Linked DNA regions of Lepisosteus oculatus. The protein of the gene in region 1 binds, or shares a complex with, the protein of each later gene. Links are inferred from orthologs where the notes say so. Each region holds a gene or a part of one and is shown on either strand. Other genes may lie near its edges.

Region 1 (7,818 bases):
GGACGGTGCCGGGCCCCGGCGCCCTCCCTCCCGGCCGGGCGCCGGCCTCACCTGCTCCTTGTTGCTCTCCAGCGCCGGCAGCACCTCCCTCACCGTCCGCTCCACCAGCACGCCGCCCACCAGGCGGAAGCACTTCCGCGCCGGGTCCACCTCGCGCAGGGTCTCGATCACCAGGCTGGCGGGACACGCACAAGCACAGGGCAGCTCAGGCCAGGCTGCAGGCACAGCGCCCCCTCCTGGACCAGGACTGGACACCCCCGCTGCAGACACACTGACCCCTCCTGGACCAGGACTGGACACCCCCGCTGCAGACACACTGACCCCTCCTGGACCAGGACTGGACACCCCCGCTGCAGACACACTGACCCCTCCTGGACCAGGACCGGACACCCCCGCTGCAGACACAGCGCCCCCTCCTGGACCAGGACCGGACACCCCCGCTGCAGACACACTGACCCCTCCTGGACCAGGACCGGACAGCCCTGCTCCAGACACACTGACCCCCCCTGGACCAGGACCGGACACCCCTGCTCTAGACACACTGACCCCTCCTGGACCAGGACCGGACAGGCCCGCTGCAGACACACTGACCCCCTCCTGGACCAGGACTGGACAGCCCTGCTGCAGACACACTGACCCCTCCTGGACCAGGACCGGACACCCCCGCTGCAGACACACTGACCCTTCCTGGACCAGGACCGGACACCCCCGCTGCAGACACACTGACCCCTCCTGGACCAGGACCGGACACCCCCGCTGCAGACACACTGACCCCTCCTGCACCAGGACCGGACACCCCCGCTGCAGTCACACTGACCCCTCCAGGACCAGGACTGGACAGCCCTGCTGCAGACACACTGACCCCTCCTGGACCAGGACTGGACACCCCTGCTGCAGACACACTGACCCTTCCTGGACCAGGACTGGACACCCCTGCTGCAGACACAGTGCCCCCTCCTGGACCAGGACTGGACACCCCCGCTGCAGACACACTGACCCCTCCTGGACCAGGACTGGACAGCCCTGCTGCAGACACACTGACCCCTCCTGGACCAGGACTGGACAGCCCTGCTGCAGACACACTGACCCCTCCTGGACCAGGACTGGACAGCCCTGCTGCAGACACACAGCCCTTGTCTATGTAGATGAGGTGTAGAGTATGTGTATAGAGTCCATGTACTTCTATATATCCTAGGGCACTCTTGAGCTGGGAGGCACGGTGGTGCAGTGCTCAGGGTTGCTGTCTCACAACTCTGGGGTTCTGGGTTCTATTCTGGACTAGAGGAGCTGTCTGTGTGGAGTTTGCATGCTCTCTCCGCATTCGCATTGGGTCTCCTCCCATGCTGGTGGGGGAACTGGCTTCTGGGAAAACTGGCCCTGTTGTGAGTGTCCTGCCCTGGACTGATGTCCCATCCAGGGTGTATCCTGGTGCATCCTGCTTGCTGGGATAGACTCCAGCTCCCCAGGGACCCTGTACTAGATAAAGCGGTCAGAAGATGGCCGGATATGTATTCAGCGCAGTAACAGGTGGAACACTGTGTCCACCTGCAGAGCCGAACCCCTGGGAATGAGGATCTGCACAGGGTCCGGACGGGAGCAGGCGGCCAGCAGACGGTACCTGTGCTCGTTGATTTCCATCTCCAGCTCCGCTGCCTTGGACGCCATGCTGCGCTGCTCCTGTCTCATCCTCTGGAACCCGGCCACCACCTGACAGAGGGAGACACGTCAACAGACTGGACAGGTCCACACACTGCACTGAGAGAGAGGGGTTCATACAGACTGGACACTCCAGTCCATTAACACTGCACTGAGAGAGAGAGAGGGGTTCATACAGACACACTGACTGGACACTCCAGTACATTAACACTGCACTGAGAGAGAGAGGGGTTCATACAGACACACTGACTGGACACTCCAGTACATGAACACTGCACTGAGAGAGAGGGGTTCATACAGACACACTGACTGGACACTCCAGTACATGAACACTGCACTGAGAGAGAGGGGTTCATACAGACTCACTGACTGGACACTCCAGTACATTAACACTGCACTGAGAGAGAGAGGGGTTCATACAGACACACTGACTGGACACTCCAGTACACTAACACTGCACTGAGAGAGAGAGGGGTTCATACACACACACTGACTGGACACTCCAGTACATTAACACTGCACTGAGAGAGAGAGGGGTTCATACACACACACTGACTGGACACTCCAGTACATTAACACTGCACTGAGAGAGAGGGGTTCATACAGACACACTGACTGGACACTCCAGTACATGAACACTGCACTGAGAGAGAGGGGTTCATACAGACACACTGACTGGACACTCCAGTACATTAACACTGCACTGAGAGAGAGGGGTTCATACAGACACACTGACTGGACACTCCAGTACGTTTCCCTTACCCGTTAAGCAAAACGGGAGCTATTATTAGTGAGGATACAATCATCATATTTTTGTGCCACTAGAAGTAATAAAAATACGGTAGCCAGTGACTGTTCCGACAAATTCGTCGTATTTCGTGAAAACGCCGCGTCCAAACCCGGCTCATCGCCGTACTGTACACGGTAACGGTCCGGTTATCAACACGGGCGTTTCAGTCCACAATAAAAACCGTGCGCCCCCTGCGACAGGGGGGGGTCTCGTCTGCCGTGCGGTAGCTCATCAGAGCCCGTGTCGCGTCCCGTCGTGTCACCGCACTGCAGAGATTGCATTACTGCTGGTGTTTCCAGAAATCGGGGCTGCTCGGGTTGCGGCGCTGGGCTCAGGCGAGCGTGCGATCAGCCGCCGCATGCCCACACCTCCTCTGCCGCCCCCTCCCCTTCCCAAACCCGGTCCGCCTGGAGAACGGGGCTCCCCGCCGGCCTCGGGCGTTACCTGCTCGGCCGTGGGGCCGGACTGCTTCCCTCCGCCGCTGTTGCTTTTACCACCGGCCGTGCCGCCGCTGCTGGCGCTGCTCGCCGCCATCTTGACTAGGGGAACGGCCGTGCTCCCAGGACCCCTCCTTACTACCCGGGGCTGCCCCGCCAGCTGCCTGCTGGACACCAACGCGAGAAGCGCCGAGACGTAGCCTACCCGTGCGACAACCACGCAAATTCTTTTAATGATAATTTAAAAAAACAAACAAACAATTAGGTCTGAGGGAAATTCACCTTTAATGGAAAACAGGTAATTGTAATTCATCGAAAACAGCCATTGTCAACATGCCTAGGAAATTTCGTTTTAAGATATTTAGCTGCAGGGGGGAAAAATGTCATTTGTTGTCATTATCGTGTAAAGAAGCATTTTCGCTGTATTTGAAATGTGATCTTGTGTACTTCTGAACAGGTATTATAGCGATAATAGACGCATTAAGTCCGTTAATCGTGGAGATCCTCAGGTGGAAACGCATGACCTGTTTATATAAAGTTAGACTAACAGGGTATGCATACTGCTGTAGATCTGTAACGCCAGAATGAACAATATAGGCTCTTTCTTTTCATGTCAACCCGTGATCAATTTCTTCCTGAACACAGGTGTAAGCCTAAAACTCAGAGTGCATGTCCTGGACGGTTGTTTCTAACTTTGTTTAATAAAGTAAATCATCTGATACCCAAGGTAATCATTCTGGTTGCAGTTCGGAGAAACGAAATAAAAAAAACGCACACAAAACAGTTCAAAGTGCGCCTTCACCAGCGGCCACACTCTATTGGTCACAATACTGGGGCTGTTCTGTTAAATTACAACAGGAGGAGCGACGACCTTTTCTGCCTCGATTGAGGTTCCTGCTCTGGGCTCCGTCCATGCTGCGACGCGGGACGCTGTGGAGTCGAGCGAGCTACGCCTGGAGCACAGCCCTCCGATACACGAGTTTCACGTCTCGGAGAGCGCGCCCAGGCGACCAGGAGAGGTAAACACGCCCCGTGGACCGGCGGGGTATTTAATGGCCGCCGTACTGTACGTGAAAAGCCCGCTTTGTTTGAAAATCTTATCCCGTTCCTCTTGGTCAGGTTTGGGTGTGGTGCCGGTGGGGGCAAAGTGGATCAGTGGTTTGCACTGCTGCTGCATGGATACATTTTCGCACCTGGGGTGCTGTCTGTGTGGAGTTTGCATGTTCTCCCCAGGAGAAACTGGCCCCGGTGTGTGTGTGTGTGTCCCATCCAGGGTGGACCCCACCTTGCGCCCGTTGCTTGCTGGGATAGGCTCCGGTTCCCCCCTGTACTGGATACAGTGGTGAGAGAAGGGCTGGGTAGAGCCCAGGTCTCTGCTGTAAAGGGCACTTGTCTGGCTCTCTGTCCCAACGGGTTGACCTCAGTTTATACTCCAGACCGTCTTCAAACCCAGCCCCTTCAAACTCGGGCTCCTCAGAGCATAAGAGAGGTTACAAACTAGGCCTGCAGTGGTGGTCCTGATCCATACAGGTCACCCCCCCTCATCGCCGGCAAACTTGTTTAAGTGACTGATCAGTGCAGCGAGTCAGAATTGTGATGTTATTTATTGTGTCATCTCTACACTTCTACAGCTGTCCTCTGGACCCCCACTCAGAGCGCTTTACAGCTCATGGGGATCCCCTCCACCCCCCAGCAGTGTGCAGCCCCACCTGGGTGAGGCACAGTCCGCTCCCCCCACCCCAGCTCTCAGCGTGATGGAGCCAGTTCAGAGAGGGGTGCCTGAACTGATCCCGGTCCCCCCTCCTGGGACTGAGGCTGGTCCGTCCGGAAGTCCGTTGGGCTTAAGCTGCAGCTGAGGCTGACTCCTGTCCAGTCCCGGGGAGGGGGAAGACTAACACAGGCGCGCTCTCCCCCTCCCTCCTTCCCAGGATGAGCTCCCGCAAGCCGGTGGCCGCGCTGTGCCAGGTCACCTCCACGCCGGACAAGGAGGCCAACTTCGCCAGCTGCGAGGGGCTGGTGGAGCGGGCGCGCGAGGGCGGGGCCTGCATGGCCTTCCTGCCCGAGGGCTTCGACTTCATCGGCTCGGGCCGCGAGGAGACGCTGGAGCTGGCGGAGGCGCTGGAGGGCGAGACGGTCGGGCGCTACGCGGCCCTGGCCAGGTCCGTCCACCGGGGGGCGGCCTGGGGGCTCGTTACTCGCTCAGGCTCTGTTCCCTGCTCTTACTCACATGGAGGAGGAGGAGGAGGAGGAGGGTGGCATCTTTCCCAGTAGAACCAGGAAATAAACCGTAGAGTCCAGGAGAAGCACAAGAGCTGGGTGCCCCCCGTCGTCCAGGGCCTGTCTGACGTCCCTCCCAATTCTCCCTCTCAGGAAACTGGGGATCTGGCTGTCCCTGGGGGGGTTCCACGAGCGAGGGGAGGACTGGGAGAGGGATCGCCGGATCTACAACAGCCACGTGATCCTGGATGACCAGGGTACGCAGCCCCCCACCCCGTCCTGTCCTGTCCTGTCCTGTCCTGTCCTGTCGTGCTGTTCCATCCACCCACCCATTCTCCCACCACTTCTTCCAGCTCACCGCCGAAGTGAAGCAGGAGCCTATCCCAGCAGGCAGCGGGCGAAAGGCGGGGTACACCCTGGAAGGGATACCAGTCCATCACAGGGCAAAACACACGCATGCACGCACGCTCACACTCACACCTGGGTCGATTTCCCAGAAGCCAAGTAACCCACTGGCGTGTCTTTGGACTGTGGGAGGAAACCCACGCAATCACAGGAGAACATGCAGACTCCACACAGACAGCACCCCTGGTCCGGAATTTAATGTGGGGCCCTTAGCACAGCGAGGCATCATGTTGACCACTGCTGTTTTTACATTGGTCATAATACCTGCTGTCTGTGGCTGAAAAAAGTCAGAAAATTCTACAATGATCAAATAATTCATCATTCATAATTCATTCAGGGCATGGTGACATGACCCCTGTCACTCCACGGCCACACTCATCCTCTCTTTCTCCCAGGTCACATTGCAGCCGTCTACAGGAAGTGCCACCTGTTTGACGTGGAGCTGACAGGAAGGGGCGTGTCCCTGAAAGAGAGCTCCTTCACCATCCCGGGACCCTGCATCGTCCCCCCCGTCCAGACGCCCCTCGGCAAGGTTACGATTCTTCTCTTCTCTCTTTCACCGTTATCTCCAGCACCGGGGCAGCCGAAGACCACGGGCTGTTAATGGGCTGCCGGTGCAGAATGAACACTGTGCGTCTCCCAGGTGGGGCTGCTGGTGCAGAATGAACACTGTGCGTCTCCCAGGTGGGGCTGCAGGTGCAGAATGGCCACTGTGCGTCTCCCAGGTGGGGCTGCTGGTGCAGAATGGAGGCTGTGCGTCTCCCAGTTGGGGCTGCTGGTGCATAATGAACACTGTGCATCTCCCAGGTGGGGCAACAATTCAGTGGAGGATGATGTGGGTCTCCCCCTTTATGTGAAATGCTCTGCTATACCAGTACAAATCCAGTCTGCTATTACTGATATCACCAGAACTTTTAATTTGACTGAGTCAGGTAAGGTCTTCAGCTGTAATTAATGATCGCATCCAGCTGTTTTGTTTTCCAGCTGGGACTGGGCGTGTGTTATGACCTGCGCTTCCCTGAGTTCTCATTGGCCCTCGTGCGGAAGGGGGCGGAGATTCTAACCTATCCTTCAGCCTTCACCGTGGCAACGGGGACCGCCCACTGGGAGGTGAGGAAGTGACCTCACGGACGCGATGGAGAGGAGGACGGGGTGGGCGGGGCCGACGTGTGTACGGCAATCTTTCAGTGAGTTTTAGGACTGCTGTCGGTAGCAGTGTCTCTGCTGGGCTTGAGCAGGGAGATCCACAGACACGGACTTGTGTCGTCCCTGGTGTTTTCGGCACAGAGAGATGGCCTGGGTGCCCAATGTGAGAAGCCCACACAAGCAGTCATGCACACATTCTTAAGTCATGGGTGTCAAACCCAGTTCCCTACTCCACATTAACCCTGAGTGTCGTTGGGCGACTTGGACACATGCAGGACGATCCTACAGGCCAAAGCCTAGTGAGGCCCTGTTGTTGGTAACTGACCTTAACTTGACCTGGGAAACCAAATCTAATCGCCTCTCGGGCGTTAGAAAGTAGTTTAAAATTGAAGAAATGATTAACTTGTCTGGGGCAATGAGAGAGACTTCATTGACACCCGAGATCTTCATCATTCCTCAGTCGAACCCGAGCCCCTCCAGGCTGTTCTGGTTTGTACGCAGCCCGGCCCGGGGTGACTTCATCGCTGCAGTTGGCGGGAGTGTGGGTGAAGGTGATCGAAGGAGAGGGGTCCCCGTCTCTGAGGCCTGTTCCTCTGCGTGTGCCCCAGGTCCTGCTGCGTGCCCGGGCGATCGAGACGCAGTGCTTCGTGCTGGCCGCCGCCCAGGTGGGGCGCCACCACGCCCGCCGCGCCTCCTTCGGCCACGCCCTGGCGCTGGGGCCCTGGGGCGAGGTGCTGGGGGCCTGCGGGGCCACGGAGCCCGGGCTGGCGCTGGTGGAGGTCGACCTGCAGCGCCTGCGGGAGGTGAGGAGGGACATGCCACTGCAGCAGCACCGGCGGGGGGAGCAGTTCTACAGCCAGGACTGAACCACTGGACACCTGCGGCGGGGGGAGCTATTCAACTTGTTCTCCTATTCTGTGTGCAGCCCTGGGGGGGGCAGCACAGAGTCCCACTGCTTCTGCTTGCAGCCTCTGACCTTAATGACCTAATTGAACATTAAGCAATTAATTTATGGTCAGTTTCTTCAGTTTGTAATCTGTACCGAACTGAAAAGCTTCTTCCTCCCTGAGCTTCTGGGGCTGTAGCGAAATCTGGGGTACGTCCCTGAGCTCTGGGGTACGCGCTTAAACAGGCGCAGTGGCCGCACTGCGTTGTTGTAGCGCCCCC
Region 2 (6,964 bases), about 1.1 Mb from region 1:
GCTGTCAGACTCCCAGTGCGCAGCAGTCTGATCCGCTCCAGGTGTGACAGTGCTGTCAGTCAGACTCCCAGTGTGCAGCAGTCTGATCCGCTCCAGGTGTGACAGTGCTGTCAGACTCCCAGTGTGCAGCAGTCTGATCCGCTCCAGGTGTGACAGTGCTGTCAGTCAGATTCCCAGTGCGCAGCAGTCTGATCCGCTCCAGGTTTTACAAACTACAAGAGGCTTTTGTGCAGTAGGCACACAAAGAGGCTGGAGATTTTTAAGTTTGTTACTTGGGGATTTTGTCTAAGACATTAGTAGGAGTGAGTAGACAATAGAAGTGTGACATCAAAGTTAAATTTTTATTTTTTCTCCCTTGCTCCTGGCAATTTGTGCTAGATTTTGCAGAGCTTAAAACATCACAGTGTAACAGGAAGCTGACTTGAGTTATGGTGCCAATGCCTGTGACGTGTATTTGACTATCGGAGGAGTCGCTTCTTCTCTCGTTAGTTGAAATGTGCCAGGAAGGTGCCTTGGTGCTGATGACACCTCACGGCGCCTTGCTTCTGTTCTCTCCCCAGGAGTCCCGCAGCACAGGGATGGCTTTGCTCTCCAATCTGCGGCCAGTGGTGTCAGCGCTGCTCTGGGGTGAGTGTCCTGGGCCAGTCCTGCCAACCTGCTGGTGCCAGTTCAAGCACAGTGACTGTAGCAGGCCTTGGGATTGGGGCCTGTTGCGCGTTCTTGCCGGGAGCTCCTTACAGGGAAAAGACAATCAGAATGAGCAGTAAACTGCAGGAGTATGTGAGTGAAGCACCTGAGAAAAAGGGTATATGTGCACCTGATTATGTGTTTGACGTTTGAGCACTGTGTGAAAATCACAAACATCACATAGAAACAAACCTATTAGAACATAAAAGCTTTGGCAGTTCTGTGGTGACTCAAGCAAAGCTGCAGATTGGCTGAGAAACTGATAATAGGGTAAAATTTAATTTTTAAATGAATTGCTCAGTATAATGTTGGAATAACATTATGAAACAAATGGTGAAATGGTGCTTAATGAAACAAAACTACAAAGTATTTGAATGGTTTGCAGTTGTGTTTGAATCATATAATTATTGAAAATGGTAAAAAAAATCTTTCTGTGCACAAAATAGGTGTGGTTTTAATTTGTGAACCGCTAGCATTTACATGCTACAACCATTTTGATTTTAATAAGTCATTTAAAAGAATTTCACACACAGGAGAAATCCTGACCTAACCCATGCATGCTGTCTGTACCACCTCGTCTGCCAAGGGGCGCTGATACAGGTGTCCCCTGTCCGTCCCAGCTCTGCAGCAGCATCCGGGGCCTAGGGTGCTGTAACTGAAGGTTCTGCTGTACTTATACGGTTCTGCGGTGACCCGGTAGAGAAGTATGAAGCGACATACTTGGTACATCTTGGGTAGAGGCGATGGAGAAGAGTGTCTGAGACAGGTCTTGACCGGCCCGTTCCCTCTCTCATGCTGTTCCTCGCTTTCTCCGTCCTGCAGGTGTGCACGGGGCAGGCGGTGTGGCCAGCTGGCCCCTGGCCCCTCTGCGTGGGATGGCCACTCTCAATCAGATGCACCGCCAGGGCCGGCCGCGCCCCGAGCCGCCCCGCGTCAGCCCCACCTTCGGCCGCCCGCAGCTGAAGGGCGTGGTGCTGAAGACCCTGATTCGCAAGCCCAAGAAGCCCAACTCGGCCAACCGGAAGTGTGCCCGCGTGCGTCTGTCGAACGGGCGGGAGGTGGTGTGCTTCATCCCCGGGGAGGGGCACAACCTGCAGGAGCACAACATCGTGCTGGTGGAGGGTGGGCGCACGCAGGACCTGCCCGGGGTCAAGCTCAAGGTCGTCCGTGGGAAGTATGACTGTGCCCACGTGCAGAAGAAGAAACAGTGAGCCAGCGAGGGACTGGGCCCTGTGGACACTGTGGCTTCATCCACACAGACTATTCCACCCGTTTCTCCAGTGGTCAGACCTCTCCTCCTGACCTGGGGCAGTTTTCTGCCACAGATGAGCTGTAATAAAGTCCACTCTGATGCTGCAGTCCTTTGTCTTTGTGCTATTATTAGAATCTGGGATTGAGGCAGGCAGCACTACATTGTGGTTTGAGACGGAATGTAATGTAACTGATCACAGTTATGGGTGGTTTGTTCATTTCAAGTGTCTGCTTTCAAACTATTATAAATGGCTACATTACTGAAGTTCTGTGCAGAAAGTGCTCTAATTCTCACAGAATGTTGCCAGTATTCAATTGTCTTGTCATGTTGCTCTGTGACGAGAGTACACAAGTTCATTCATATGCACAGCAGCCAGTCCTGTTTGTAAAAGGGAGAAAATTCAAATGAGCAACAATTCCAGTTTGCTACACAAATCCTGATGTTTTACAGAAGAGATGAGAATTGTTGTGCAAATAAAGATCTGTATTTCCACCCCTGAATTGAAGTGACTCAAACCAAAAAAAGGGTAATTTGGAAAGAAGGAATGGCCTTTTCTGGAAAACGCATTCAGTGAAGGTTTGAAATCCCTAAATAGTTCTCTAGTGACAGTGGACCTGCAGCTGACAGGTAAGATACCTGTGGTGACTGAGAGTGTGTCATACTAATGGTTTCATTCCAAACGTGCCTTGTTTTTGGGTGAAGTGCTGGAGAAGAAGGAGCTGAAGAGGAGGACAGCGCACAGCTCTTCATCTGCACCAGTGTCTGCTAGAAAGCAAATTTGCAGCTGTGGTCCCTGGGCAGGACACGGCCCTTGAGATACAAGATGCAGAAAAGACATTTCAAGACATAGTGTATGATAGATATTTCAATAGGTAAAGTGTATATAAGCACTGACAAGAAATACATTGAAAGTTTCAAGAAGTACATTAGAACTGATCAAGATGGAGAGCATGATGTTGGATAAGGAGGAAGAAGTTTCATGATTGCAAAGACTGATTTGCATGAAGCAATGATTTCACTTTAGTTTGAGGAGTTATAAATTAGATGAGAATCTAATTGATAGAATTGTGTTCCAGAAGCTGGAGGCTGTAACCATAACTGCTGACTCACCAGACTCAGTGTCTCTATATTTCACCCAACACATACAGCGAGAGGCTCCTGCGGTTCTGGTTTTGGGATACAAAACCTTTTAAAGGAGGGCGCTGAGGCTATTTCTGATCCTAAAAAACAGTAATTTGCAAAGTGCATGAAATTATCGAATGACAGTAGATGATGCTTTTTAGTTGTGTTGCAGTGGCGACAGGGTGTTGATTTCTTGTCCAGTGCTGAATGAGTAGAAGGAAGGGAAACACTCAGCGCCAGCTCGTTCCTGCTTGTAGCTCTCTTACAGCCGGCAGGATGGGTCATTTACAAAACACGAGTGCGCATGCTACTGTGTACTTGCATGTATACGTCTTATATACAAAATGAGTTAGGGAAAATAGTTAATGAATCTATACATCTAAACGTGTTCGTAATTCTTATATTACGCATTTTATGCAAACGATCCTGCTTTTCGGTAAACGATAATGTTTTTCTTATTTTTTCAAACGTTTGAACATCAAATAATACAAATGAGAGAAGGAAAAAGCGGTAGTGAAACAAATACACTGCCAGAGGTAATTACAAACCTGAATACAAAATGTATCTTTGCAATGCATTTTTGCATTAGTGTATTTAAACTTTTTAATGGAATATCGCATTTCCATCTTATAAATATCAAAGGAAGGAGAAGCGACAGTTGAGTGTATATATTTACCCATTATTAATAACAGATTAATGATAAATACATGTTATTTACATCTTGCGAATTATATCAAACTCCTTAACTCTAACATTCAGTTAGATGCTTAAATAGAAAGTCTTCCAAGTCTATCCAAAACCAACCCAACCTTTTTTCTTATTTCTCTGTCCCTTACCAACATGGCGTCTTTTACCATCACAAGTCAGTGCCGTGGTAGCGTCATATCCGGTGCGACGCCATAGCTCTTCCTGTCTCAGACTGTGAAGCTAGGCAGGTGGTGCGGCGAGGTGGTAAAAAGGCTGCCGAGCCCAATAATTAAAAAAAATATTTGGCATTTTTATCGGAATATTATTCCGTCCGCTTTTGGTACCCTAAAACCTGGTGTTGGACCAGCGATGGCGGAAGCAATCCAGAAGAGACTTCAAACTGAGCTCGAAAAATATCAACAGACCCAGAAAGGCAAAGTTGAATTTATTATTGCAGTTCTCCTAGATACAAAGTGGTGTCTATCGCATTCTGTATTTTGAGCTGATAGTGGCTACGGACGCACTGTTCTGGTCATCGTGTCGCTGGACACGTCTGATACTGGAGACTCACAAAACTCGAAGCTGAATGTGAAATGACCAGTGCTTTAAGTGGGTGACCACTCCGGTAGCGACTTTGTTGAATTGTTAAAGGTCAGCTCACGGGGAGCGTCCCAATCGCTTGTGTGTCCTTCTTCGTGTTAACATAACGCCGCTTTAATGTGAAGGAGCCTGGGGTTTCTGCCTCAGCTCTAGGTGATGATAATGAATCGTGCAGTAATAAAGGGGGCGGCACTGCTGCCTCATGGTACTGGGACCTGGGGTGCTGTTTGTGTGGAGCTTATATGTTCTCTCAGTGTTTGAGTGGGTTTCCTCCCACAGTCCAGACTGTGCTGGTGGGTTGATCAGCTTCTGGGAAAACTGGCCCTGGTGCGAGTGTGTGTGTCTGTGTGTCTCCTGGGATGGACTGGGGTCCCGTCTGGGGTACCCAGCCCTGAGCCTGTTGCTAGCCGGGAGAGACTGTGGCTCCTGTGTGGCCCTGAACTGGATGAAGCGATTAGGAGATGGATGGAGGGCTAAGAGTGTTTAAGGCAATATTTGTGCTTTTAAAGTGTCATTACTGATGTATGAAGAACTGCTGATCTGTGGCTGTGAAGGAGTGTGCTCTGCCTGTTCCAGTAAAAGCCTGTGGGCTGACGCAGAAGACGATAGGTAGAGAGTAGTGGTGCGTTAATGTGACTGTCACACTGGCCTCTATGTTACTCACGTTCCCTGAGAGCTGCGACTGCTTGGGAAATAGGAGGCCTAAATATTAAAACTGTTTCTTTGCAGATCTGAGTAAAAGCATGTCGGCGAGACAGAAGCTGGAAGCCCAGCTGACGGAGAACAACATCGTGAAGGAGGTGAGGCGCCACTCTCCCTTCAGACCTCTTTGATCCTCTGTTTTGACTTTCTGGTTCTGTTGCTGGTTCGTCAGCATCAGAGAGAGTTTTATTCCCTGCTGCTTGTCGCTTCTTCAGATGTGCGTCTCCTTTGTGGTGTGAGGCTGAAGCCTTTACTAAGGGTGAGTTGCAGGTCCTCCCATGTGGCTCTGAGGGCTAACTGGTTTATCTTCTGCTCTGGCTTTGTGGGGGCAGGAGCTGGACTTGCTGGAGGCTCAGAACACTGTCTACAAGCTGATTGGCCCAGTTCTAGTCAAACAGGACCTGGATGAAGCGAAGGCTACAGTGGGGAAGCGGCTGGAGTATATCACTGGAGAAATGTAAGTCCTGTGTGTGTTTGTCCTCGTACAATCCTGGCAGATTGAGAAAGTGAAGCCAAGTGTTAGTAGAGACCTGCCTTCTACAGCCCAGTTTGACTGAGCTAATCTGGCCCTGTAGTCTTCTCTCTGACCTCTCTGAACTGATATGTTTATTGTCATAAGAAGGCACATTACTCGTTTCTAATATGCTTTTCTTATCCTGGTCACAATCACTGCTACTGAAGTGTTACAAATTACAAAATCCTCTGTTACAAATTCAACTGTTTCTAAGCACTACAGCATTACACTGAGAGCTTTATACATCAATGCTCATTAGTTAAATTTCCTTGACAGTACCCGTCTTCTGTCCTGTGTGTGGAGGTTGTTGGCTTAATTGTGTTCTAGAGTGCACTTTATTGTAATATAAAAATCTAAAATAGCTACACTGCTGTAAAAAGACAGTTTAGATTGTTTTTCACTTATTACACCATGTTCTTCAATCTTTACGTGAAAACAACTGTATGGTACTCTACTGAACTTTAAGCTATTTTATGATCACATGTAATCCTGATGGATCTGTATATGGTAGGATAAAAAGTGGCCTTTTAAATTTGTAGATGTGGAAAGAGAAACTTGATAATGACAAGAAGCCCCTGACAGTGAGTCACTGAGATATGATGTATCAGCTGTGACTGGTTTAGGCAGTCCTGGTCCTGCAGGTTTCAGAAGTACCCGAATAATCCCTGGAAATCACAGCCAACTGACTTTTAAACACTTAATTGTATCAGTTAGGTAATTGAGGTTTTAGCTGGACTAAAAACAGTAATAGATTAAGTTTGTCCTGAGATGGTGTGTTTCAGTAGATACTGGTGAATTTAAGTGCCGATCTTGCTTTTTCATCAGATGCACTAGACTGTATCAATACTGGCCAAAATTGTTAAAATACCATAAAATATTAGTTGATGTGGTCAGTAAATAGCTGCATGGGACATAAACCTTCTTTAGCCTCCTTGTGTTTTCTCTCTAATTATCCGAGTGGTTTTAACACTTCCTTTAAGTAGACTATAACTGAAATGACGTGCAGATTTCTGGTAGAAATTCCAGGCCTGCAAGGAGGTACAGTTCTTTCTCACAGTCCTGTGCTCTGTTTGTCTCTGGGGCTCAGTGTCCTACTGTGCCACCCTGTGTCTCTGGGGCTCAGTGTCCTGCTGGGGCTCAGTGTCCTGATGTGACAGTTTGTCTCTGGGGCTCAGTGTCCTGATGTGACAGTCTGTCTCTGGGGCTCAGTGTCCTACTGGGGCTCAGTGTCCTACTGTGCCACCCTGTGTCTCTGGGGCTCAGTATCCTGCTGGGGCTCAGTGTCCTGATGTGACAGTCTGTCTCTGGGGCTCAGTGTCCTACTGTGCCACCCTGTGTCTCTGGGGCTCAGTGTCCTGCTTTCTTCTGTCTTTCAACATCTTTCCTTTCTCTCTCTTCAT
Region 3 (7,659 bases), on another chromosome or scaffold:
ATAAATAAACAGTTGAAATGCAGTGAATCCCATGCTAAGTCAGTACAACAGAATATATTTTAGGACAAGAAATTAATTAATTTAACTTATTGTCGTTCATTTAATTATTTATTCTCAATAGAAGCATGAAAATGTAACTTTCACCTCTTTATCATGCAATTAAACCAGCTCTCTGATATGCCTATAAAAATCTAATAAAAACAATACATTTTACAAGAGCAAGACAAATTCAATGCACAGAACAATTCAGAAAGAGTCCAGGTGAAAGCTCACAGATCCTGGGCTGAACTGATCACAGCCGGTAAGAGCACAGCAGAGCAGACTGCTGCCCCCTCCCCTCCCCGAGTCTTACTCTGTCAGCTGGCTGGTCTTCCTCTCTATAAACTTCAGGGCTTCGGGCAGCGTGAACTCCACAAAGAACCCGAATCCCACGGCAACGAAGATCTTGGAAGGATCCTCACTGGTCATAGAAACAAGGCAAAGCTGAGTGTGTCAACTACAGCAGACACGTGGTAAGCGAACCAATTATTCATTTAGCAATCAATACTTTGGCAGACACCTTTATCCAACGTGACCCATGTATATTTGCACAGCTGGGTGCTTCCCTGAAGGGGGTCCAAGCGAAGTACCACGCTCAAGGGCACAACAGCAGTGTCCCCACCTGGGATTCGAACCCGCAACCCTCCACTTGCAAGTGCAGATCCCTGACCACTGAGCCAGCTGATAACAGAGTGCTCCTCCTGAAGGCACGTTCCTGTTCTCTCACAGGAAATATTGACAAAAAAAGTCTATACCACTTCAATACCAGAAATCCGTTTTATTTTGAAGAACCCACTTCCTTAACAGATGTAAAAACCGGTGGTTAAGAAGCCAGGCCAGGAATCAAGACGGAAGACTCAAAACATCTCCGCTGTACTTACACATGAGCCTGGACATAAAAATTACAGCCCAGGTCCACATCCGTTTTAAGCTCCTTGCTTCCCGATTCCTGGAATAGGGAGACTGGTTTAAGAGTAAGAAAAAACAACCTAATTCACCAAATTACTCGAAACAAAAATCACAGCTGTGAGAATATATATATATATGTACATCTAATCATACATCTATAGTTCTTTATGTCAGTGATTTATGTTTTAATAAAACTGCTCCAAAATCCGAGGTGTGCTATGTGACACCTATTGGCACATAGCACATTATTAGCGGACACTATCGCTACAATGGAAATAAAATAATAGCATGAAATTAAAGAGATAGGTATTGAGATACCAGTTCACATCATTCCGAGTATATATGTAAACACTGCATTTCACGATTTCAAACTTCCCTAATGTATAACTACTGTCCTACAATATAACCCACACTGTAAAGTGAGAGGCAGGCGAGTGCTGTACCTGAAGGCTTTCAATCACGTTCTTCAGCTGCAAATACTGGGCGATCTTCTCGTAGATCTCATCTCTCTGCTCCAGCACCGTTCTGGCACAGTAACAGACAGACAGTAGTCACGGCGCCGACACGGCGACAACACTCGCCAGGTAACCCCAATGGCCGAGAGATGAAAACGATGTTCAGGGTGTTTTTACTTTGAGTTCGGGCATCTGCACCTCCTCCTCCCCGCCCCCCAAAAACCGGACCCAGGCGTCGGCTGAGCAGCCAGAAACAGCCGTGAGCCGCAGGTGACCTCGGTCTGTCGCGGGACGGGAGACCGCGAGTCTCTGGGCTCCGGGTGCGACAGATTAAATCCCTTCATCTTTCCAAGCTACAGGCTCCCGAGTCCCAGCCAGCACCCCGGGTGTCTGTGCTGTCCTGTTGACAATATCTGCATGAAGGTGAGGACTTCTGTACAACTCATCCACTGTGTGTCTGGGCAGGGCCAACATTGACTTTAACGTGCTTATGGACGAAACATTAAACTCTCTGCTTACATCTGGTTTTTCCCGTTTACAACTGTTTTTTTCTGCAATATATCTAGGGGCTTGTGCAATATATTTTTATATTTATAATGTGCAATACAACTTTCTGTTTTTTGTATATTCTGTACTGTGAGCAACTTTTTTTAGTGCACTTCTCACTGAGTGTACCGACTGTATTGTATTGTTGTATTATTGCATTACACTGTGCTCTGTTGACTGTGCTAAACTGCTGTTGCACTGCAATCTCCCTCACGGGATCAATAAAGTATCTTCTTTATTAAAAGAAAACTCTCCCCCTCTCTCAGCAGAATTTACACAAGAGCTCACAATTTCCTGAAATGCATCAGACAGCTGTACATCTGGGGGAGTGCCTTGAGCTAGAGAACAAAAGGCAAACTGTGATTTTTTTTTGGGGGGAGGGGGGGGATCACGGAGACAGGACAGCAGTTTATCCAATCTGGTGAAGCACACAGCTTCAGTTTTGCACTATATACCGGACAACTACAGCTGCGACAGGTAAAACATTGGGATTAGAACCTGCATTTAGACTATAAAAACAGAAACAAAATTCCACTCTTCGGCCCCCCACACACTTACTGCAAATCTCGCTTCAAGACCTCGTTTATAAACGTCTCGTATGCAGAGACTTTTTCTTCAACTTTCCGCCTGCCGCCCGGAGTCATCGTATAGTCTCAGCAGGGCAGGAGCCTGTAGGAGAGACGCACGGTGTGAAAATGAAACAAACACTGACATCACCCCTCGCCCGATTTACACACCTATCGTAATCAAACCCGATACAAACAGATCATTTCTCGGTGCTCAACGATATATTCCCAACGCCACGTTTTCGTTAGGCATGTCTCTCCTTGCAGAATTAATCTCGCTTTGAATGTCACCCAGATAAACCACGTCCCCTGCTTATTGAACTGCTGCTAATGCAAAAAAACATAGAAAAGCAGATGTGACACACGGTGTAAAATAGTTTTTCAAGAGGCGGAAAAGTATATAAACCTCATCGATTACTGAGATCGTGAGAATCAAGGGGAGCAAATTCATACATCATATGTTTTCATCCACTGCACGCGTCACTCATGGGCTTCCGGGTTAAATGTCAAGACGTTTTAATGTCATTTTGTGTTTTTTAAATGTGGTGTAAATAAATCCATACATTGACTTGGAAAACAAATACGGTTCGTTATCTATGAGCGTTTTTTTTAAAAAAATATATGTGTCTTATACGTGAATTTATTAATTTGCGTTACTGACGCCGGGGTCAAAGTTTAAATTCCCGTCCTTATTTTTAATTCTGGACATGTGGAGAAGTCCTTTCAGGGTTCACAGGTACCTACCTACACACTCACACGACACGGGTGTTTTTCGAGGTCCTTATCAATACTGAATAAAGTGGGATTAAAATTGCTTTCGGTGGGGGGAAATTATAACTAAATGTTTATTTCCAGCGCCGAGGGCGGAGCGGGGATACCGAACCGAGCCCCGGTCTGTGGTCGCGGAGACCCGGCTGGCTCTATCGCTGCAGGTGTTTAATGGGTGGCGTTTTTTTAATTAACAAAACCTCTGGTATTATTTCGACACAGGCCTCGGTACATATAGACGTCTCTGGCAGTGTCCCGAGTAACCCAATAGAAAACAGGCGAGTGTCGGAGCGGTTTTCGGCAGCAGCTGGGACAGTTTCACAGTTTCGCACTCGTAGCTCCTGTGAAGAGCTGGACGGGAGATTTGCTCTGATCTCCTTCGTTTTTTGTTGTTGTTGTGGGGAGTTCGTGTTAAATTCGGTGCCCACCGAACAACGTCCTCAGCTCAGAAGTCACTGAAAAGAAAAGTGTCAAACTTCTAAAAGACCTAATAAGCGACGCTAGAAAATACAATACTCATCTGGTTGAAGTGCCAAACCCGGTTGTTAAGTTGAATCTCCTTGTCATCGTTTTTTTTTTTTTTACCGTGTACCGTGTTGTTTTTACGGACGCGAGGATATCCAAGTGTTTTCTGAAGTTTCTCATATCGTTGGGTATTATTATCGCGGTCTACTGTTCTGTGGCCTACTTCTTGTAGGATAATGTGCACCCAAAAAACGAACTTCAGTGTGTTTGTGGTGTGAAGTGTTCGGGCTGTCCTTCACCTGCCGGGGCTCGTTTTCAGGGTGTGTTGACACAAGCGAGTCGCCATGGCCGGTCCGGAGCTGCTGCTGGACTCCAGTATCCGAGTCTGGGTCGTGCTGCCCATCGTCTTCGTCACCTTCTTCGTGGGGGTCATCCGACACTACGTCACCCAGCTGCTGCACAGTGACAAGAAAGTGGACCTGCAGCAGGTGTCCGACAGGTGAGCCCAGCGGATTTCATCTTTCCGGGGGCAGAATCGTGAAATGCTGCAGGAGTTTAAACAATCGTTGTTCGTAGATGTTGGTGGGAGATTTCACAATCAACTTGAAATTGACAAATCAGTGTATGGTCTCATATCGAAGTTATTCTGCAGGTGAAGTGTTGGAAATACATCAACTGTAAGATCAATTTTAGCTTATTAGCTGCGGGGAAATATTACCTGTGCAGAAGGTGTCTATAGGCCTTAAGTTATATGGGAAAGATTGGCACAGCACCAAGTGATCTGCAGCTGGGCTAGTACAGAGATTGAGATTAGTTTTGTGGCATGTGACCAGGCTCTGATCGACTGAAACAGTTGTGCAGAAGTGGCCCCGAATGTAAAAAGAGCAGAGGAAACAGGAAGCTCTGTGTCATAGCCCAGGGCACTGCCCAGCCCTCTGGTAGAGCCCTGTGCGTACCAAGCCAGCACTAAGCTTAGATAAAAGAATTAAAGTAGGACGCAATGTAAATATCAATGTAAATATTACCGCAAGTAACTTGTTATATCTGTTTTTGCAGCCAAGTGTTGCTCAGAAGCCGTATTTTGAGAGAGAATGGGAAATACATCCCCAAGCAGGTAAGAATGTTATCCTGGGCTTTCCGAGACTCTGGAGCATCCTAATGAAAATAGTTTTGTCCTTCATACTGGATTTGTGCTGGGTGCTTCCGACTCTCAGGTTAAGAGCTGATGTGAGCTACGCTTTCTGTGCTTGGCTTCAACTGAACTGGTCGTGAGAAATGCCGTGAGCTCCACTGTGTCAGGAATCGGTTGGTTATCCTCAGCTGTGTGGATCAATGATCAGAGCACTGAGAAGGTTTCAGCAGAGATGGTGCTCCTCTCTGGAATCAAGACGGTGTGGGTCTCTGGACTGGGTCTCCAGATGTGGCGGAGCTGCCCGCTGTCTGGGGAGCGAGGCTGCCCTCGTCTCGCGACGCGCGCGCCTCGTGTTCTGCGTGACGGGGTGCCGGCGGAGCTCTAGGCGTGATGCTCTCCAAACGCTTTTCTCTTCAGTCCTTTGCGATGCGGAAGCACTACTTCAACGATCCCGAGACGGGGTTCTTCAAGAAAACCAAGAGGAAGGTTGTTCCTAAAAACCCCATGACAGGTGAGAAAGAGGAACCGTCCCGTTTCGTTCGTGGTGGTGGGGGGTTGAGGTGCTTTCATTCTCAAAATACTAGAGAATTGAAGCAAACCGGGGAACCTCACACTCTGCACGCCCCCTGTCCTGAGCGCTATTTACAGGAGTTCGAACTTGGCATCGTACAGTGGGAAGAGTTATGGGGATTTGCTGCTGTTTAGTTTTGGGGTGTTGGGGTTACCTCTCACCTGGTGTGTCAGCTCCAGCCTCTGACTGGTCTTTTGCAGATACCAGCATGCTGACGGACATGATGAAGGGCAACGTGACCAACGTCCTCCCCATGATCGTGATTGGCGGCTGGATCAACTGGGCTTTCTCCGGGTTCGTCACCAGTAAGTGACTGTTCTGTTGGTCTTTCAGAAGAAATGAATGAATGCAAATGAATGTGACCCCTGCTGGAAAAAGATCAAGGTATTTCCCTAGCAGTCCACTTGCAATTCAATCAATTCAAGCTTTATTATCCTCTGGGGGGAATTTTGTTTCATGGCTGAGTCCAACTCAAGCGATACACTGCTGGACAAGTCGGGGGTGGCAGTGATAGAGAGAAAGGAGTTACCCCAGGAGGAGTTTTGTTTCCGCCTGTGAAGGGCTTGAGCTCTGCAGTCAGGGGCTGGGACATGAGCCCAGCTGTGTGCAGCCTGAAGGTCTAGCCTGCCTACTGCCCACTGATCCCCCTGTCTTCTCTCTCTCCGCACAGCCAAGGTGCCCTTCCCCCTGACCCTGAGGTTCAAGCCCATGCTGCAGCGCGGGATCGAGCTGCTCTCGCTGGACGCTTCCTGGTACGGCTTCGCACCGGTCTGCCCTCTCGCCCCCTCCAGGCCCACGGCTGCCCTGGCCTTGTTCGCGCTGTTCGTTCTGCTCTGGCTGTGAGCCTCGTGCCTGTCCTTCGCTCGGCTGGTCCCGGGTCCCGTAACGCCCCCAGGACACCACGCCGTGCGTCGGGGGACCCAGCCTTTGGAGAGGCAGCCCCTCGTCTTCCAAGTTCCCTTCCTGACCCAGTTGAAAATGCAGCTTCTGTTGACTTTTCTAAATCTAAATCCTCAATTTCTCACTTATATCTATTTTTATTGTATATTCTGCTACTGTATTTTGTATTGTGTCTTTTACGTAAAGTGCTATGAGAGAGCTCTCTATTGAAAGGCGCTGTATAAGAATAGAATTGATTGATTGATTGATTGTCCCCATCTTTTTCTGTGTAGGGTGAGCTCGGCGTCCTGGTATTTTCTGAATGTCTTTGGGCTGCGCAGCATGTACAACCTGATCCTGGGTCATGACAATGGTGAGCAAGTCAGAGCTGGATCCAAGGCACCCCTGTTTCTCTGTTCTCTCCGGCCGCTGACTAGTCCACAGAGCAGCGTGCCTTGTCTGCTCACTAATAGGAGAGATAGCTGCAGAGCTCTTTCTGTCTCGAGAGCAGATGAAAAATAACTGCTCAGCGCCAATGCAAAGGAGGCACTCAAGCACGACAATTGAAATGTTTGCTCCTTTGGTGGAGCTGGTTGGTTACATTATCCATCCATCCATCCATCCATTCATTTACCAACAGCTTTATCCAGTTCAGGGTCGTGGGGGAGCTGGTGCTTATCCAGGCTATCAGAGGGTGCAAAGCAAGATAAATCCTAGACATGGTGCCAGTCCATCACAGAGCACAGACATGCACACATACAGCTAGTGACAGTTTCCCAGAAGTCAATTCACCTTCCAGCATGTCTTTGGACCATGGGAGTGTTTTCTTGAAGGGCAAGAGAATCCCGTGTTGATGGATTTTAAAATTTGTTGAGAGACTCTGTGCTTTCTGACCTCAGTCTAAGCTGCACCCTTCAATGTCCCTTCCAGCTGCTGACCAGTCCCGCATCATGCAGGATCACATGACAGGAGCTGCCATGGCGATGCCCCCTGACCCTAACAAGGCGTTCAAGGTGAGAGAATTCTCTCCCCCCCCCCCCTTAAATTTTCTTCCAGGTCTCCTGAAAAGCCAAAGACTGGATGGGTTGAATCCGAAAATGAAAAGAGCAGATGGTGTTTTTTTTATCCTGAATAATATCCATCATGTCATGTCATTTGCCAAACCTCTTTATACCGTACGGTGTCGCAGGATGAATAATATATTGTAGCGCTCTCGGGTTCATGTGGGTATGCGCCCTTGCCACTGCCGCCTCAGGTCGGCTCCCCACCGCTGGGGACTCGAACCCGGGCCTCTGGCATCACTCAACAGGGACCCAGCCTCTCGAGCTA
Region 4 (7,309 bases), on another chromosome or scaffold:
TGTAGATCAATTTTGAAATGTTCCTCTTGTTTACATTAATTGTAATGTTCATATTATAAATAAAAATGTTGCCAAACTTTGGTTAATGTTAACATAATTAAAAAAAACTCCACTACATGTATCTTTTATCTTCTGGATCAGTGTGTTGCTCGAATTCCGGCAAACTTGCATATCTGTTCCAGTGTCAACTGCCATGTGCTCTGCTTCAAGGGGAAACAGTTTGAGATTTTTTTGTACATAAGAATTTATTTACTTTCACTTATCACTCTCTCCTCTGTGTTGCTAGTGTGTTACTTAGGCTGCAATTCTAGACTTTAGTGCTAAGATTCATTCCTTTTCAGGGAATGAGCTTTCAGTTTGTGTGGGAAAATGGTTAAGTTGAATGTTAAGCTTTTTTTTCTGCATGCTGCACCATATGCTGTGGGAATTGAAAACTTCATTCTGTATGAAAATGAAAATAAAACCATTTGAAGCTTAAGTTGATTAAAGCCTCTTGAAAAAGTTTACTTTTTAAAAAGCTGAATGCTCCATGTCTATAAAAAATAAATTAAAACTGAACCCAGTCTTTTAAGTATACAAATATACTTCATACAGTACGTGAGAAAATAAACCCTCCAGCTGTATTGATGTAATATTCTGTTGATATGAATCTGAAAGTAACTTTACTAGCACATATGTAGTTGATGCATTATTACTTATGGTTCTGGAAGCTGATTCCTATCAGAACGAGTACAAATAGTACTGTGCATCTGGAAAATGTATAAAAAGTTTCAAAACTGCTCAATACCACATGATTGCTTTGCACATTATTTTAAGTCAAGCCATCAGCTGTTGATGTAGCTTTATTCCACAACAAAGTTACAATTCACAACTTAACTCTGTGCTTCAGATTTAAGTTCATCATTGATCCACAGTGAAGTATAACAATGCAGTTAATTACAATTACAAATTGTTGGTGCCTTGAAGTCTTTGATCGTCAAACTCCAGCAGGCCTCAGTCACAGTGATTTGTACTTCTAGAACACCCAAAAATGTCCCAATTGTCCAGAATTTCCTAAAATCTCTCTGCAGTTCGACTGGCCACTGCTCGAATGTTACCATAAACTTTTGATGGAGGGCTTCCTGTTGGAAAAATTAAAAAATATTACAGATCATAACAGTTTTTTTAACCATTAAATGTTACAACATAGCAGGGGAGTCTGTTTTACATACAGTAATATGGCTATGGAAATAACTTCAGAAAACAATGGACTGAAAACACTTAAGGTTAAGACATCTGCTGTTCACTGGTCTACAAATCTCAAGGGTAGTTGTCAAAAGGTTCAGGCTTTTTACACCAATATAAGTTTTTTTTCCTAAAATGCAGTATAAATCTTATGGAATTAAAAGTACAGACTCCTATACAAAACTTACCCAAAATGAGGTTGCATATAGCTGTTCGTGCCATTTTAATGTTCTGGAAAGATCCCAAAATATGTATTTTTCTAAAACAAAAGGGAAAATATTATTTGCCAAATACAGCCTCTAATTCTTTATATCTTGCATAATACTCAGAATTGTACATAAAACAATGGAGTATTTATAAGATCAGTTCAGTATAGGGTTATTCTTCACACCCACTGCCCAGTAGGTTGAGACACAATGACAGCGTAAAACAAAAGTACTCACGTATCCGCTAAGACGATCCTTGTCCGGGTCACGTTTTCAATTGTAAATTTAGTTTTTCCTCCTTTGCCTGCTATTCTTCCTATAGCTCTGGAAAGATGATCTCCCTTCAACGGTTTAACTTTAAAAAAAAAGGTATTTTGAGTTGTCTTAAAGGGAGTCTACCTCGCTTACACACCTCTTAGAACATCTGAGGTACCCTATCAGTATTAATAATCCACAGAAAATAATTTAAAGGGACATCTTACTAGCATTTAAAGAATAAAAATGAGACTGTTTACAGCCCAGGGCACTGTCTAGGCAGTACCCAGCTGCTCTGTTTTTTAAATCAGAATCTTGGTTGGTTGACTTCTACATGACCCTGCATTTCAAAAAGAAAACTTGCAGGCTTGAAGATTAACACCTAGTTAAGAAGCTGACAGATTGCACCATTCTGGAACTGACTACAACACTTCAACAACCTCAAGTATGAGGTGTTGCAAGGACAGCAACTTTACCATATAAACATGAATTATGTCAAAACTATCAAATGACTTCAGTTTCTCATTAACGTTGTTAAACCCGAAGCTCACATAAGCCACAAACGAGCTAGATGGTTCCACATGGTTGGACATTTTGCCCAGTGGTCATTTTAAATGAGTAACAGAAAATCCATGCCACAGACTTTAATACTGACTTAGGACTTACCATCGGTGACCTCAAAGGTTTCTAGAAACAGCTCATCTAATCTGATCAGGGCTAGGGCATCCTGTGAACAAACAAATCTGTTGTTTAATGCCAAGTGTGTTTAATTCTTTACCTCAGTACCCACTCCAAATTGAGGGATATTAATATATTTACATCTAAGAAGACCCGACTTAGAAAATAATATAAAATGTCACCATGTTACACTACATTAGTCTGAAGAAGAGCAATTAGGTACATTCCCAGGATTGAACAAATACTTTTCTGTAAAACACAGAAAACAAATGGAAATTAATGGGAAGTACATTTATAACTTAAAACAGAAGGCACCTTTTAATATAAAGGGTCATAGATGCCTCAGGTAAACTACCTGGGGTGTTCAACAGGGCTGATAACCTAGCTTATTTTAAGAAATGCTGGATGAAACTCTGATCAACTGGCCAACGGCAAGCAAGTGTGTTAGATGACCTAAACTTCCTCTCATTAGTAGCCATTATGTTATATTATGCTTGGTTCTCAAATGTAAACCAGATGTACAACATCACACAACAGTCAATGTTATGTATTTTTCAAAAACATGAAAGCCATAGGAGCAATCCCAAAATTTGCCCATATTTTACCTGAATCTAGTCATTTTATACATACATATATAAGGTAAGAAACTCACCTCCACTTGAAATCCTAGTACAAATGCTTTCACAAAGTCTGCTGCTTTGGTAAGTGCACTTATGTCTTGTGTTTCTTTACAGGTCTGAAAAAAATAAACGCATTAATTACGTTACAGGTTTGATGACGTCTGGCTGTAGCCTAATTATTGTTGAAAGAAGGCAATTACTAGATTTTGACGTATGAAACATTAAAAGGATGCTTACATAGTTTGCATCTACCCTTACACAGCCCAGTCACACGCATTATTCTAAAAGGTACTGACTCTAAAATTGTTTGGCAATTTATACTACCAAATATATTTCTAATCATTAAATTCAGAACGACTGAGTAGATCTATAGTAGAATAACACCAATCAGCGTTAAGAGGCGTTTCAGTTAAGAAGGTAAAAACTTACTTTTATTTCAACATTTCTTGTTTTAAGGTTAAACCTGACTTGTAACTGTAAATGTTCTACGATGGGAGTGAAGATCTTCATCCAGTTTTCTTTCAAAGGTGTATACCGATGTGACGGTACAGGGATTTTTCGCATTTCATCAGAATCTCCCTATAAAACGACGAAAACATAGCATAATCAGCAGGTAACTCCGACTAGCTAGCCCCAAAGAAGCACATGTTACACCACAGATCGTATAATCTACAAATAGTGTTAACTACTTTACCTTCATTTTGTCTCCAGAAATGGGTGGAAATTCGGGTCTCTTCCTATGAACTTCAGTTTCCATCTGCCCATCGTCAACTTGACGCTTTCGCTTGTTGTTTTTCTTTGATTTAACTTGCTTAAACTCATCGGCCACGTTCTGACAGCCCGTACTGCTGCTGGGCTCGTTACCAGTCCTCGTCGTTTGTTCAACTTCCATTGTTAAGCGATAAACAGCTCCTGCAATGAGAAAAATCCCTGTACTTCTTATAGAACACTAACAACTGCAACACATGCGGTAAGACACCATCTTGTAAAAGGACCTAACGTGTCCACCAGGGTCCTTCTCATAAAAACAAATAGACGACTTTCAGGACTACGTCACTACCCCTCCTAGGACCCAAAGGTAAAAAAGAATGTTACATACTTACGTTACAAATAAATACAGGGTATTGTACCATGTAGGTTTAAAAAATCTTTCGTTATTGCTAAAGATCTAAAAATGTAATCTTAAAAGTGAATTAATGTTTTAATCACTGTAACAGCTCGCTACAGTTAAATACATACGTTATTGCTACGGTAGTGGTGTTCAATATATTTTCAGTCTGTAACACGATCTGAAACGACAGCGTACAGGGGTGCAGATAATTAATTTTGAAGAATGTCTAAGGATTTCTGTGCGACTTCAAGTGTGGCGCAATTGCTTCAGGCGCGGCACAAGACAGCTTGCAGTTTGTGGGGTCCTCCGGCTGAGTTAGGAAATGGAAACCCGACGGTACAGTAACTGTGGCCCACACTGCTAGACGTGACCAGTGACGAGACGTGCTGTCAGAGCTGGAGCCTTGTTTCTACTTTTTAGACATTTTTTACTTTCATCTTTGAATTTGAACATACGCCGCCGCCTCACGAGAAGCAATGTCGACTCCTCTGGAGAAGCCGCAGATTATTTCTCACATACAGAAAAGTCTCAACTACACTGTGTTTGATTGCAAATGGATACCCTGCAGTGCCAAGTTTGTGTGCATGGGGAACTTCGCTAGGGGGACGGGAGTGATGCAAATCTATGAAGTCCAACACGGAGAAGCTAAGCTTGTCAAAGAGGTCTGGCCAACGTATCCTGTTGATTATAATTTGTATTGGTCATTTATTTAGATATTTAAATGGCAAGGCAGTTTTCTAGAAAATACTTCGGCGGATCGTTACCATGGCAATGCACGCTTTGTCCATAAGGGCAACACCTTTGCTGGGTTTTTAAGTCGCACATTGTTCTTGTTTTAACAGAAAGACGACAAACGAGAACTATTCGTTTAATTAAGCTTAAAGTTCAGGTCTCTTGGTGATATAATCCAGATGACTGCAATGGATTGTCGTGGGGAAAGTTATAAACAGACAGATTTTCCGATGTATTTGCATTGAATTGGTTTGGGTTTCTGTGCTATCCACGCCAATTTCAGCGTCCGAAATGTTGTCATGTTTTGTCTTTTCGTAGATTGAAAAGGCCAAGCCTATTAAGTGTGGAACATTTGGTGCGACTTCAATACAGCAGAGGCATCTAGCTACTGGAGATTTTAGTGGGAACCTCAATATCTGGTAAATTTAACTTTTATCAGTAAGAATCTTAAGGTGAACCACGTCTTTCCTTTCTGGGGTGAAAGAAAATGCAAATGATGCAAGTGCAAGTATTGCATAAACAAGGCTGTTTTATTCTCAGCTGAAGTAGTCCCTAATGAATACATGGTATCCTGTTTTGCTTTTTGTCCTCTTAATGAGGCTTTATGAGTATTATTTGAATTATGCCAAATAAAAGTTGTTTGCAGCTGAGGGGTTATAGTGCTTCTGTCATTCAGAAACATAATTTGGGAAAGTGGTGTATTTGTCTGGTGTGAATGGCAGGATTGCAACGTGAACATGCGCACAGTCTTTGTTTGAATTCCTTCAAAATATATTTTGTAGGAATCTTGAAGTGCCGGATGTCCCGGTTTATTCAGTGAAAGCACACAAGGAAATTGTGAATGCCATTGATGGTGTAGGAGGCCTGGGTATTGGAGATGGAGCCCCAGAGATTGTGACTGGGAGCAGAGATGGTAAACACATGCTGTTCATGTTCATGTAAACTTTGTACTTGTGGCTTATGAACTTGGTAACAAGTAGTGTGCAGAATATATTTTAATTCACGTTAAAATGCTGAAATGTATGTTTTGATTTATACAGGAACAGTTAAAGTGTGGGACCCAAGGCAGAAAGACACTCCAGTTGCAAATATGGAACCAGTTGAAGGAGAGTCAAAGAGAGATTGCTGGACTGTAGCATTTGGTATGTATAAGGAACATGTGGCTACTGTTTTCTGCATATTTTGTTTGAGGTTTTCCAAGATTGTTCCAAATGGTGTTAAAGCAATCCATCACCCGCATTTTAAGCCTGAAATAAAATACATGAGAAATACTTTTTCGGGGTCAAAATGTTTTTAACAATTAATCCTGTTGATTTTCTATATGGATATGGGTATTGAAAATCATCAAGTTTTTTGTGGTTTAATCGCACTCCTTGGTTGCCAACATTTAATCATTTCACAGTTGAAATGCTTTTAATGTTGCATTTACTGTGTCGTGAAAGCTGAAGTATATATTTTGGAGGCTTTATGTAAAAAATGAAATGAAATTTCCAAATAGACGTTTTCATGTATGTTGAAGAGGTTTTAATTTTGTTTACTTACTCAGTGCACTCTTTATTTGGTAGTATTTGGTGCCTTTCAAAATTATATTGCAGTATTTGTATTTAAGTGATACATACAACTATTTTTCTGCCTGCCTAAACATACTATATATATAAAATAAGGTACAGAATACAGGTTGCCTTCTTAAGATTAAAATGTTTACCTCTGTATATCATAAAGACGTAATGAGGAACACAAGATTAGCGTTTAACCTGTTATCTATCACCATTATATAATGTAGTATCAATGTTTGTGTCTAGATGTAGTACAATGAATAAATATTGATATCACAACTATAATTATACTTTTAAAAGATAATTCTTTCTTTTCACTTCAGAATCTGATTTTACATTTTGTTTGAGTTAGGACATGCATTCAATGACCAGGACCGCTGTGTGTGTGCTGGATATGATAACGGCGATATTAAACTTTTCGATCTGAGGAATATGTCACTAAGATGGGAAACAAACATTAAAAATGGGGTAAGGTGGAACACCAGTATCAGTTTTAAACTAAAAGCATTCCGATTAACATATAACTAGACAGTTTTTTTTACTGTTGAACTGTTTCTGAATAATTAGTAAATGCTAAAACTCTATCTTAATGAATCTGGCTTTTCCAACAGCAAAAGGTATTTGATTGACAGGATGAAAAGATGTTGCATTCTTGAAGGAAAGTAAAACAGTAATACATTGTGTAGTGTTTACCAAGTTTTCATCTTGCATGATCTTCAATTCTGCCAAGTCCATTGTATTTCTATGAATTTTCTTAATGCTTTTTAAGACTGTTTGGTTTGAGTTATAACTGAGTTATATTAATGTGGGTGCATATTGTGTTATTGTACATCATGTTTCTGTAATGTCTTCTTTTCATTGTATGAGTTGCAGTGTTTGGTTTCATTTTTTGTGTAATTGACAGGTATGTTGTGTCGAGTTTGACAG

What was found.
Region 2: pfdn2 (region 1) and pfdn6 share a complex: the UniProt entries of both Homo sapiens proteins name them as parts of the PAQosome complex. The link is inferred for Lepisosteus oculatus from reciprocal best matches to the Homo sapiens genes PFDN2 and PFDN6.
Region 3: pfdn2 (region 1) and uxt share a complex: the UniProt entries of both Homo sapiens proteins name them as parts of the PAQosome complex. The link is inferred for Lepisosteus oculatus from reciprocal best matches to the Homo sapiens genes PFDN2 and UXT.
Region 4: pfdn2 (region 1) and dnaaf10 share a complex: the UniProt entries of both Homo sapiens proteins name them as parts of the PAQosome complex. The link is inferred for Lepisosteus oculatus from reciprocal best matches to the Homo sapiens genes PFDN2 and DNAAF10.

Annotation. Positions count from the first base shown.
Region 1 is NC_090713.1:22,363,888-22,371,705, reverse strand, and holds the start of pfdn2 (prefoldin subunit 2), read right to left. Parts: upstream 3,020-7,818; 5' UTR 2,981-3,019; coding exon 2,891-2,980; intron 1,708-2,890; coding exon 1,619-1,707; intron 176-1,618; coding exon 52-175; intron 1-51. Other genes in the region: nit1 (deaminated glutathione amidase), read left to right, coding at 3,796-3,902, 4,812-5,042, 5,254-5,357, 5,901-6,037, 6,490-6,615, 7,260-7,517. UniProt on the Homo sapiens protein: Binds specifically to cytosolic chaperonin (c-CPN) and transfers target proteins to it. Binds to nascent polypeptide chain and promotes folding in an environment in which there are many competing pathways for nonnative proteins.
Region 2 is NC_090713.1:23,463,916-23,470,879, forward strand, and holds the start of pfdn6 (prefoldin subunit 6), read left to right. Parts: upstream 1-3,960; 5' UTR 3,961-4,117; coding exon 4,118-4,181; intron 4,182-5,077; coding exon 5,078-5,148; intron 5,149-5,382; coding exon 5,383-5,507; intron 5,508-6,964. Other genes in the region: mrps12 (small ribosomal subunit protein uS12m), read left to right, coding at 579-627, 1,510-1,898. UniProt on the Homo sapiens protein: Binds specifically to cytosolic chaperonin (c-CPN) and transfers target proteins to it. Binds to nascent polypeptide chain and promotes folding in an environment in which there are many competing pathways for nonnative proteins.
Region 3 is NC_090697.1:76,549,204-76,556,862, forward strand, and holds the start of uxt (protein UXT), read right to left. Parts: upstream 3,014-7,659; 5' UTR 2,969-3,013; exon of another isoform or gene 2,922-2,968; intron 2,619-2,921; 5' UTR 2,594-2,618; coding exon 2,508-2,593; intron 1,474-2,507; coding exon 1,392-1,473; intron 989-1,391; coding exon 921-988; intron 461-920; coding exon 353-460; intron 1-352. Other genes in the region: ER membrane protein complex subunit 3, read left to right, coding at 4,093-4,247, 4,805-4,862, 5,298-5,391, 5,652-5,756, 6,122-6,203, 6,624-6,703, 7,261-7,343. UniProt on the Homo sapiens protein: Involved in gene transcription regulation. Acts in concert with the corepressor URI1 to regulate androgen receptor AR-mediated transcription. Together with URI1, associates with chromatin to the NKX3-1 promoter region.
Region 4 is NC_090712.1:8,546,648-8,553,956, forward strand, and holds the start of dnaaf10 (dynein axonemal assembly factor 10), read left to right. Parts: upstream 1-4,307; 5' UTR 4,308-4,570; coding exon 4,571-4,756; intron 4,757-5,144; coding exon 5,145-5,245; intron 5,246-5,608; coding exon 5,609-5,739; intron 5,740-5,866; coding exon 5,867-5,968; intron 5,969-6,734; coding exon 6,735-6,850; intron 6,851-7,286; coding exon 7,287-7,309. Other genes in the region: RNA-binding protein PNO1, read right to left, coding at 1,054-1,121, 1,413-1,483, 1,668-1,785, 2,352-2,412, 3,016-3,099, 3,413-3,562, 3,678-3,875. UniProt on the Homo sapiens protein: Key assembly factor specifically required for the stability of axonemal dynein heavy chains in cytoplasm.